Schizosaccharomyces pombe: one gene and its partner. Changing the gene in region 1 together with any one later gene gives a genetic interaction. Each region holds a gene or a part of one and is shown on either strand. Other genes may lie near its edges.

The links. Genes that interact genetically often act in the same process or in processes that back each other up.
Region 2: mutations in pin1 (region 1) and cdc10 impair growth when combined (synthetic growth defect), as found in Schizosaccharomyces pombe (one study listed by BioGRID).

Annotation. Positions count from the first base shown.
Region 1 is NC_003421.2:662,519-666,563, reverse strand, and holds pin1 (peptidyl-prolyl cis-trans isomerase Pin1), read right to left. Parts: upstream 2,033-4,045; 5' UTR 1,897-2,032; coding exon 1,496-1,896; exon of another isoform or gene 1,351-1,495; coding exon 1,224-1,350; 3' UTR 507-1,223; downstream 1-506. Other genes in the region: protein asi1, read left to right, coding at 2,576-4,045. UniProt on the Schizosaccharomyces pombe protein: Has a role in the G1/S stage transition of mitosis where it is involved in the dephosphorylation of cdc25 and wee1.
Region 2 is NC_003423.3:2,760,241-2,765,500, reverse strand, and holds cdc10 (DNA-binding transcription factor, MBF transcription factor complex subunit Cdc10), read left to right. Parts: upstream 1-1,700; 5' UTR 1,701-1,910; coding exon 1,911-4,214; 3' UTR 4,215-4,335; downstream 4,336-5,260. Other genes in the region: PAN complex subunit Ppk26, read left to right, coding at 1-27, 134-181; mmp2 (endopeptidase catalytic subunit), read left to right, coding at 505-746, 819-968, 1,036-1,186; GARP complex subunit Vps52, read right to left, coding at 4,336-5,260. UniProt on the Schizosaccharomyces pombe protein: Major component of the cell cycle transcription factor complex MBF (MCB binding factor, also known as DSC1), that controls G1-S phase specific gene expression. Involved in the control of rRNA production, via interaction with pol5.

The DNA of each region.
Region 1 (4,045 bases):
AGTAGTCAACAGTACCTTAGCTATTTTTCTATTTATTTTTATTATTTTTGGCACATCAACAATTGATTGAAATTAACTTTCAAATTTAAAGGTTTTTAACTGTTTGACTTCTTTTTTACATTGACTAAAGTATCATTGCTTCGACCGGCAAACTATCCCAATAATAGATTCTTAAGCTTATTAAAAAAAAATATTTCTTTTATTTTGAAAGATTTAATTGTATTAACGAAGTTTAATAATAAACTCTGATAGCTATACAATTGTTATTTTAATACAACTCATTTTACAATACTAAATGTTCAAGATGAGATTTAACGTTACTTAAAATAATCCCTAATTTAAATTATTATCATTACTATTTTTTTTAAAAAAGAACACTTTTTTTCATAATTCAGGCCCCTACTGTGTAAACACATTTGGATTCCTATAAATTATCAAATATTCCTTTACTAGCTGATATATGGATTCGCTTTATAAAATACAGAAAGATAGAATTTAGTACGAAGTCGGTTCAAATAAATTTATTAAATGGGTTCCAAATGCTGAAGAATTCTACTCACCTCTATAGCGTAAAAAATGGGATGCTGCATTTTCACTTTGCCGGATATTAATTGTTTTATTGTAAATCAGTGCATGGGGTTGGTTAGAGAAAAAAAACGAAAAAAGACTTGTGTAGGTATAAAGAAAAATAAACAAATAAATAAATATAGCATAAAAAAATGACTACAACCATAAAACCTCAAATGAAATATGCAAAAGATAAATTTGTAATTACTTTTTCTAATAAAGTTAACATTCATGTAAAGTAGAAAATCTGTGAAAATTTTTAAAGTGAACAGAAATCTCGAAACATCAATCAGTTACTTTATCATTTTTCATCAAAGCTTTTTCAATCAATAGCAAAGCGAAATCAAATCATTTTGTTTTCAACCTAGGTAGTAAGCTGGCTCGTGTTCATGAATGGGCAAACACTTAAATACTAAGTTAAAATGTATTATAAACGGGTGAACGTCAGAAATAAGGGACATACAAAGCGACAATTGTGAATATTCTCCTTTGGGAAAATGGTCAACAAAATGTAAAAAATCATCAGAAGAGATAAATTTGTGACAAAACAAGACAAACATTTTGTTTGCTTTTTCAAGCATACGGAAAGGGAGTAAGTGAAAATAAGAAATAAAGCATACTCATTAATATTATTAGGTAATTGTTTTGCAAATGAATTAAGCGTGTCTTTGAATGATGTGAAACCCACTGCTCGTTTCAACCACTCCACTAATTTCACCGGGTTTCAAGGCAAACGCAGCGTCTTCAAACGGTTTTTGCATTTCGTCTCTTCCAAATTCGCCTCTACACATAGTGTTAGTAAAAATCGTTCCAGTTGAAAATCAGACTACACTTGGCAAACCAACAAGAGCTTATCACCAAGTGTGGCACCACCATATACTGTCGGTCTTGCGACTCGTATTTAATTACAGTATATCAAAATACATACAATTCACCTCCGCGACGAGCGGAGCTACAATCCGACTCTTTCATGGCTAAATCATGCATGCTTACAGAGCCACTCTTTAGCAATTGTTCATAGTGTTCAGCCAGCTTCCTCGCCTCCTCCTTGCTCCTAGTAATGTGCTCCTCCTTCCATGAGCTGGGACGACGGCTTTCTCGATGCTTTACGAGTAAATGGCTAGCACGAATCTTGGGTGAATTGCTTGCCTCGGTGGGTGTAACTGACTCCTGCAACTCGTTTGCAATGAACTTTTTCAGGGCAGCCATATCAGTGGCAGCCGGAGGCTCCCATAAAGACTCATGCGTCTCAGTATTAAAGAAGTAGGGACGATTTCTGGAGCGTGAAATCTTGACAATCCATGGTTTGGGTAACCCAGTATTAGACATTTTTTTTACCACAACGCTTCTTCAAAAAATGGATTCACTAAGACAGAAAAAATCCTCAACTATAAATTACAAGCAAAACACGTTCAATCTCTGCAATTTGAAGCTTGTTTATTTGCTTTGTTTAGAGTCACGTAGTAGCTAGAGTCGTTTGCCATCTATTATGTAAATAAAGCACATTTGCTATGTTGCTATGTCAACCACCACTAAGGCCTTCGATAGGAAAGGAAATGGGGGCATTCTACCTTTTTATCCCAAGTGGGGGCACTTTCCAAAGTACCAGAAGATAGGGCATACCTTATTCGTCAATTGGAGACAAAACTCAAGGCATGCCTTTTTGCCTCAGCATAAGCGGAACACCTAGCTTGAAAGAGTAAAAAGTCGTAGAGGACTACAAATTCGATATTTATTTAATTAATCAAGAAAAATTGGTGTAATTTGAAGTAGAAACATTTTTTTTCTGGCAGATTTGAGTGGAATTTGAGGAAAAAGGTGAGAAGTTTGGAGATTTCGGATTGTTGAACGAAAATTTGTTGGATTTGAAAATTGTTAGACTTTTGGTGCATTCCTCTTTTCGTTTGTCAAAGTTTACTTAGTGTCGTAGACTGCAGTGAGAAGAGCTCGGTTTTAAGTTTTTTTTTCATAAATAATAGGTTATTGAGGTACAATTCAATTCACCTTAATGCATATTCCACACTTTCATCTTCACAAGGGTCCCAAAGGCGTGCGCACTATATCGTATGAGCAGCTTCTCTCCGAAGATGACTCGTATGCGTCTGAAAAGCTGAGTGAGGACCATGTAACGGAGGTTCATTTTGTTACTGATAAGGACGAGGATTCAAATGCTTCCGGCGAGTCGAGAGGTTCTATGGAGTTGTTGGAAAACTGTTTTTCTTTGCTGCATGCCCAGGACGATACAAGTAAATTTGTGTCATTGACCATGCTTGCAAAATTACTCAATGATCATCCCAATCTCATCTTCAAATGCTGGGAAAGGATGGATATGAAGTTTTTGGACCGCTTGCTCCTTTCCACTCATTACGAGTACGTAGATTTGGGCGTCTCCATCCTTCTCGCTTTCTGCAGTGAAGAAGCCATTTTACGAAGTTATGAAGTGAAAAAAAGGGTTTCTACTTTACTACAGTGTTGTTTGAAACATTATGATCTTTGTATCCCGGTTATATGTACTTTGTCTTCCAACCCAAAATCAGCTAAGTATCTCCTTTACTATACATCATTTATTATCAACGAATTTCCATTTGAACAAGCATTTGAAATCCTTTCAAACGCACTATACGCCCTCGACAACGTACAGACGTATATGCGTCCCATTTTCCAAGGTATCGACAAACGACGCGGATGGAAGTTGGACTGTACTTTCTCGTTTTTTAGCGATTTGTTTTCGCGATTCCCGGTTCAATCATGGTATTCCGAGGCCATTCGTGCTAATCTCCAGCCTTTGATGGATGCGGTTGTTGAACGCTTTATCACCGATAAAAATCTTTCTTCAGCTACCGTTATTCTTTCTAACCTTCTTAAAGCTGCTGGTCCCGCCTCTATTATGCCAAATGATGGGTTTATGATTTTGGTGATTGGTCGCTGCTCTGCTGAGATTCGAGGAAGTCTGGGAATGCTAGTTAAGGCAGTTGGTCAGAAAGGAAAGCATGGAACTGTGTCGTACACGGTTTGTGAATGCTATGAAGTTCTTGGACTCCTCATTCGATATCTATGTGAAAATTGTGACGTTCTTGCCCAAAGAATTGAGCCTGATAAATTTTTCCAACTTCAGCGATCGCTTACTGAGTTGTTTAGCGATACGATGGATTTTCTTCGTGATGCATGGGATAACAATAAAAACCGTGACAATTTAGCATCACATGTAACTGTAATCAGTGCTGTGGCTACCTTGTGTTTGTGGTTGACCGAAGATGACAGCCAATATGCACAAGCCTCTGGTCTTATGGACATATTTGTATATCTGTGGAGGCATAGCTGGTCGAATGGAATTGATTATGCTAAATGGATTAGCGTTGCTCTCCCTTCCATGCTGAGCAACAAGGTTTTCTTTAAAGCTTTTAAAGATTTTGATGCATGGAAAGTTGTTTATGACGATTTTATCAAGTGTAACGATGATTTAAAAGGCGACAAGTCT
Region 2 (5,260 bases), on another chromosome or scaffold:
GATTGTGTTTCAGTTTCTTATGGGGAGGTAAGTATTTGCTCAAAAAGCCATAGTGGGTGCTTAGTAAATTAGACTACTTTTCCACACTATATAGCCTGTTTGTTTGCAAAATTACTAACAATAACAAATGTAGCTAAAAGCTTGGTTGGACAACGTTTACGAAATGGAAATAAATTCTTAAAATAAAACATTTTTCTTTACAGAATATTTATTTGTTTTTTTGTATCTATTACCATGGTTGTTAATTTAAGTAAATAATAGTTTTCGCTATAATAATATTAGAAGGAAGCTAAGCTTAATGTGGTTTTGAATTACCTACTGCAACACACCGTATTGAAACAAAAACGATCAGGAATAGAAGCCTGACACTTATCAGATAAAATTCATTAATACGTTTTCCTGGTTTAATTATTAATTACGGAAACTCCCATGCTTGTTAAGGTACATACAGACGGTTAATCATAAACTTCTTAGAGGAGAGAGTTTAGCAGTTGTCCTCAAAAAATGGCAAACCCTTTCGTTCGAAATCAATCTTTTAAATCAGTATTTTTTAAAAATTTAGTCGGAATTACCCTATGGGTACCCGTATTAATGTTCGTTGAACAACATGTAGTCAGCGTCGGTACAATTGAAGGTAGATCTATGAAACCAGCCTTTAACCCTGAGACAAACATGCTGCAGAGAGATAGGGTACTACTTTGGAAATGGAATAAGGATTACAAAAGAGGAGATGTAGTTATACTACGGTAAGTTCTTGGATCGTTGCAGGGTCTTTCGGTACTGAGTTTCCCTTTTTATCGTTACTAATAAGCAACAAGCTCTCCAGAAAACCCAGAGGAACTATTGGTAAAAAGAGTTCTAGGAGTAGAATACGATATCATGAAAACGAGACCTCCTAAAAAGTTGTCATTAGTACCCGTTCCCGAGGGACATGTGTGGGTCGAAGGCGATGAACAATTTCATTCTATGTAGGTTTCCAACAATTGTTTTTTTACTTTTTCGTTTTCTTCTATAGAGATATTAACTAGTTTACAGTGATAGTAACAAATTTGGCCCAGTATCGACAGGACTCATCACTGCCAAAGTGATTGCAATTTTGTTTCCCTTCTCTCGTGCAGGGCGTATTGATCATGAAGGTTTCCGAAAGAATGCAGTGTTTTTAAGTGGAAAACGTTCTGTTAAGTAAGCTGCACCACAGTGAACCTGTTTCCTTGACAGTTTAGTTCCATGCTGGTTGGTGCTTATTTACATTTCTTTTAAGGAACACGTTATCCTTAAATTTAATTTATTTCGACGCGTCGCGTTCTATATATGACGTCATTAATATGTCTATCTATTTACCTATTTGAAAAAGATGGAAGTTGGAAGCTACTTTGTATTAGAAATACCAATAAAAAAATATAATTTTTTCATACTCAACATCAAAACTTTTATTTAGGGAAAATTAGAATTGACTGAAAAATCCGTCTCTTTTGCATATCCCGAAACAGTAAAGTCGTTGAGTATAGCAAAGTTGGAAATTTTTCAACAGGGTATTTGAAATGAGAAAGAATTCCATTTCTAAGTAGCCTTTAAATAAAACCCCCAGAAGAAACGAACATTGAAGTAGTCCTTTGTTTTCCTTAGGAAGCCTCATATATCGTTACTTCGAATACGGTCTAACGCCGTACCAAATGTATACAGCTGCGTGAACCTTCCCAGAGCGAATTTGTGTATAACACGAAATCCGAAAAAATTACTTCTATTTATTTGAAAAAGAAAGGAATTCACAATCTCTTAAACAAACCAAGTGGTGAGGAGCTCGAGTCTTCTTTCATGGTCAGTTCAGCACCCTTATTTTCGAGAAAAACGTGCTGCCCTTTATAAAAAATTCGATATTTTTTCGGCATTTTTTATTTTAATATACTATAATGGCTTCAGCCAATTTTATTCGCCAGTTTGAGCTGGGGAACGATTCTTTTTCATACCAAAAACGCCCAGAGGATGAGCCATCACAACCCCTTTCAAACAGAAATATAAACAAACTAAACGATTCATCTACTTTAAAAGACTCTAGTTCAAGGATTTTTATTAACTCCCAAGTTTTACGTGATGGCCGACCCGTAGAATTGTATGCTGTCGAATGTTCAGGCATGAAATATATGGAGCTTAGCTGTGGGGATAATGTTGCTCTTCGAAGATGTCCAGATTCTTACTTTAATATCTCTCAAATACTTCGACTTGCTGGTACTTCGTCATCTGAAAACGCCAAAGAATTGGATGATATTATCGAGAGTGGGGACTATGAGAATGTTGACTCCAAACACCCTCAAATAGATGGAGTATGGGTTCCATATGATCGAGCAATTTCTATAGCAAAGCGATATGGGGTTTATGAAATTTTACAACCATTAATTTCTTTTAATCTTGATTTATTCCCCAAATTTTCAAAGCAGCAACAAATCGAAAGTTCTTCAATCTCCAAAAATTTAAATACTTCTTCTTTTAATACGCGATCCCCTTTGAGGAATCATAATTTTTCAAACCCTAGCAAGTCTTCAAAGAATGGGGTGCACACTATAAACAATATGCAGAGTTCACCTTCACCTTCTTCCTCTTTCTTACTACCTTTAACTCAAATTGATAGCCAAAATGTTAAACGCTCTAACAATTACCTCTCCACCTCTCCACCTATCCTTGAACAGCGTTTAAAACGGCATAGAATTGATGTCAGTGATGAAGACTTACATCCCTCCTCACAGTTAAATGATAATGAGGCCTCTTCATTGTTTCCAGATACGCCAAGGTTGAACCATTCACTTTCTTTTGTATCCTTGGTTTCTAGTCTTCCTCCACTTGATCAGAATATTATGCAGGATTATCATACATCAAAAGACATTTTGACCTCTATCTTTTTAGATGTAAACTTTGCTGATTCCAGCGCCTTAGAAGCAAAGCTGTCGGACTCATTAGATTTGGATGTCCCCATTGACGAACTTGGACACGCCGCTCTGCACTGGGCAGCAGCCGTTGCCAAAATGCCTTTGTTACAAGCCTTAATACATAAAGGAGCTAATCCTTTACGTGGCAACCTCACAGGAGAAACGGCATTAATGAGATCGGTTTTGGTAACCAATCATCTCAATCAGAACTCTTTTGGTGATTTACTAGACTTGCTTTACGCATCTCTTCCCTGTACAGATCGAGCTGGACGGACCGTCGTTCATCACATTTGTCTTACTGCAGGTATAAAAGGCCGAGGTTCAGCATCGAGATATTACTTAGAAACCTTATTAAATTGGGCAAAGAAACATGCAAGTGGTAACAACGGATATATGCTGAAAGACTTCATAAACTATTTAAATCATCAAGATAAAAATGGGGATACAGCTTTAAATATCGCAGCAAGAATTGGAAATAAGAACATTGTTGAAGTTTTAATGCAAGCCGGAGCTTCCGCTTATATTCCTAATCGTGCAGGGTTAAGCGTAGCAAATTTTGGAATTTTTGTTGAAAACGCATTAAAACAACCCGAAGACTCAAAACAAACAAAAGTTTCCCTTATGAGTGAAAATCTGTCCAGCAAAGAAAAGACTGCTGTCCCTCCTCGTCAAAAGAGTAGAGACATTATCGCCTCTGTGACCGATGTAATATCTTCTCTGGATAAAGATTTTCAGGATGAAATGGCTGCAAAACAGTCTATGATTGACTCAGCCTACACCCAATTGCGTGAATCTACAAAAAAGCTGTCCGATCTTCGTGAACAACTACACGTGTCCGAGACGCAAAGAACTTTGTTTCTTGAATTAAGGCAACGTTGTAAAAATCTTATGACTTCGATCGAAGAACAGAAAAGTGAATTAAGTAATCTTTATGAATCTTTTGATCCCAATGGAATACACGATTCATTATCATTGGATGCTGACGCTCCTTTTACTGTCAATGAAAACAACAACAAAAATTTATCTATTGCTGAATTGAAGTTTCAAGTTGCTGCTTATGAGAGAAATGAAGCCAGATTAAACGAATTAGCGAACAAACTTTGGCAACGAAATTCCAACATAAAATCAAAGTGCCGTCGGGTTGTTTCCCTATGCACCGGTGTCGATGAATCTCGAGTGGATTCATTATTGGAAAGTTTGTTACAAGCCGTGGAAAGTGACGGTCAACAGGGAGAAGTAGATATGGGTCGAGTTGCTGGATTCTTACGTGTTGTTAAAGAACATCAAGCATAATATTGCTTTTTGTGGTTTACCACTAAAGTGTCCTGAAATAATTAACTACTTTAATTTTTTTCTTAATATAGAATCCTACCAAATGAATAAAACGTAATTTATTATATGTTAATAATCTTGGCTATTGGAAATTAGTTAAATTTTCATTAAGCTTTTCGAAATATGTTTTTTGCTCTATAGCTAAATTTCCCGATACGCCGCTAAGAACAGTCGAAATGAGGGTATAATTATTGGACAAAAACCTACTTTGTCTCCTTTTGTCATTAACTGTTTTACACAGGTTTTGTAACATGCTCACATAATCCTGAGCTAGTCTTGAAGCACTTCGTGCAACAGGCTCGGCTTCTACGACATTAACACTTAGCATCGAAAGGCTATAAAGTAGTTCAGCTACTCGCTGCGAAAGTGGATGAGGTCGCGAAGTGATTTCTTCTGGCTTCACAGATAAGTTAGTTTTACGGAGTGACTCACAGTGCATGTCCATGACAGCTTGAAAGCGAGGCCACAGAAAAAGAATCATGGAGTTATAGTGTGGCTCAATAACAGGCACTATATTAGTTTGCGCCTGTAAAGCTAATTTTTGAGTAAAACGAATGGACTTCAAAATACCTATGCAATCGATACTGCTTGATATCAATCCTGTAATGTATTTGCGTGAAAAATGTAAAGTTTTTTCAAAGATAGCGGCAAAAACGGTAGCCTGCTGATCTTTAGAGAGGTTAAAGTACTCCAGCAAAAAAGCATATTCAGAAGAGACGTGTTCCGTCAAGACTAATTCCCATGAGCAATAAACACGTTCAATATATTGTGGGGAAGATTCAATATGATGCATTGTAGATGCTGTCAACACAGAGTTCATATCAAAATCCTGAGGGCGCAAGTTTACTGAGAGCATTTGATTCCCGTAAGATTGTTGTGCTCCTTTGGAAAGGTTGAAGAGTCCTTTCCGATCCTCTTCAACGCGAATAGTTTCTCCCTTAAGGACATGAACTTTGTCCAAAAACCTAGAGTACTGTTCGAAGTGGTATAGATAAAACCAATTCATC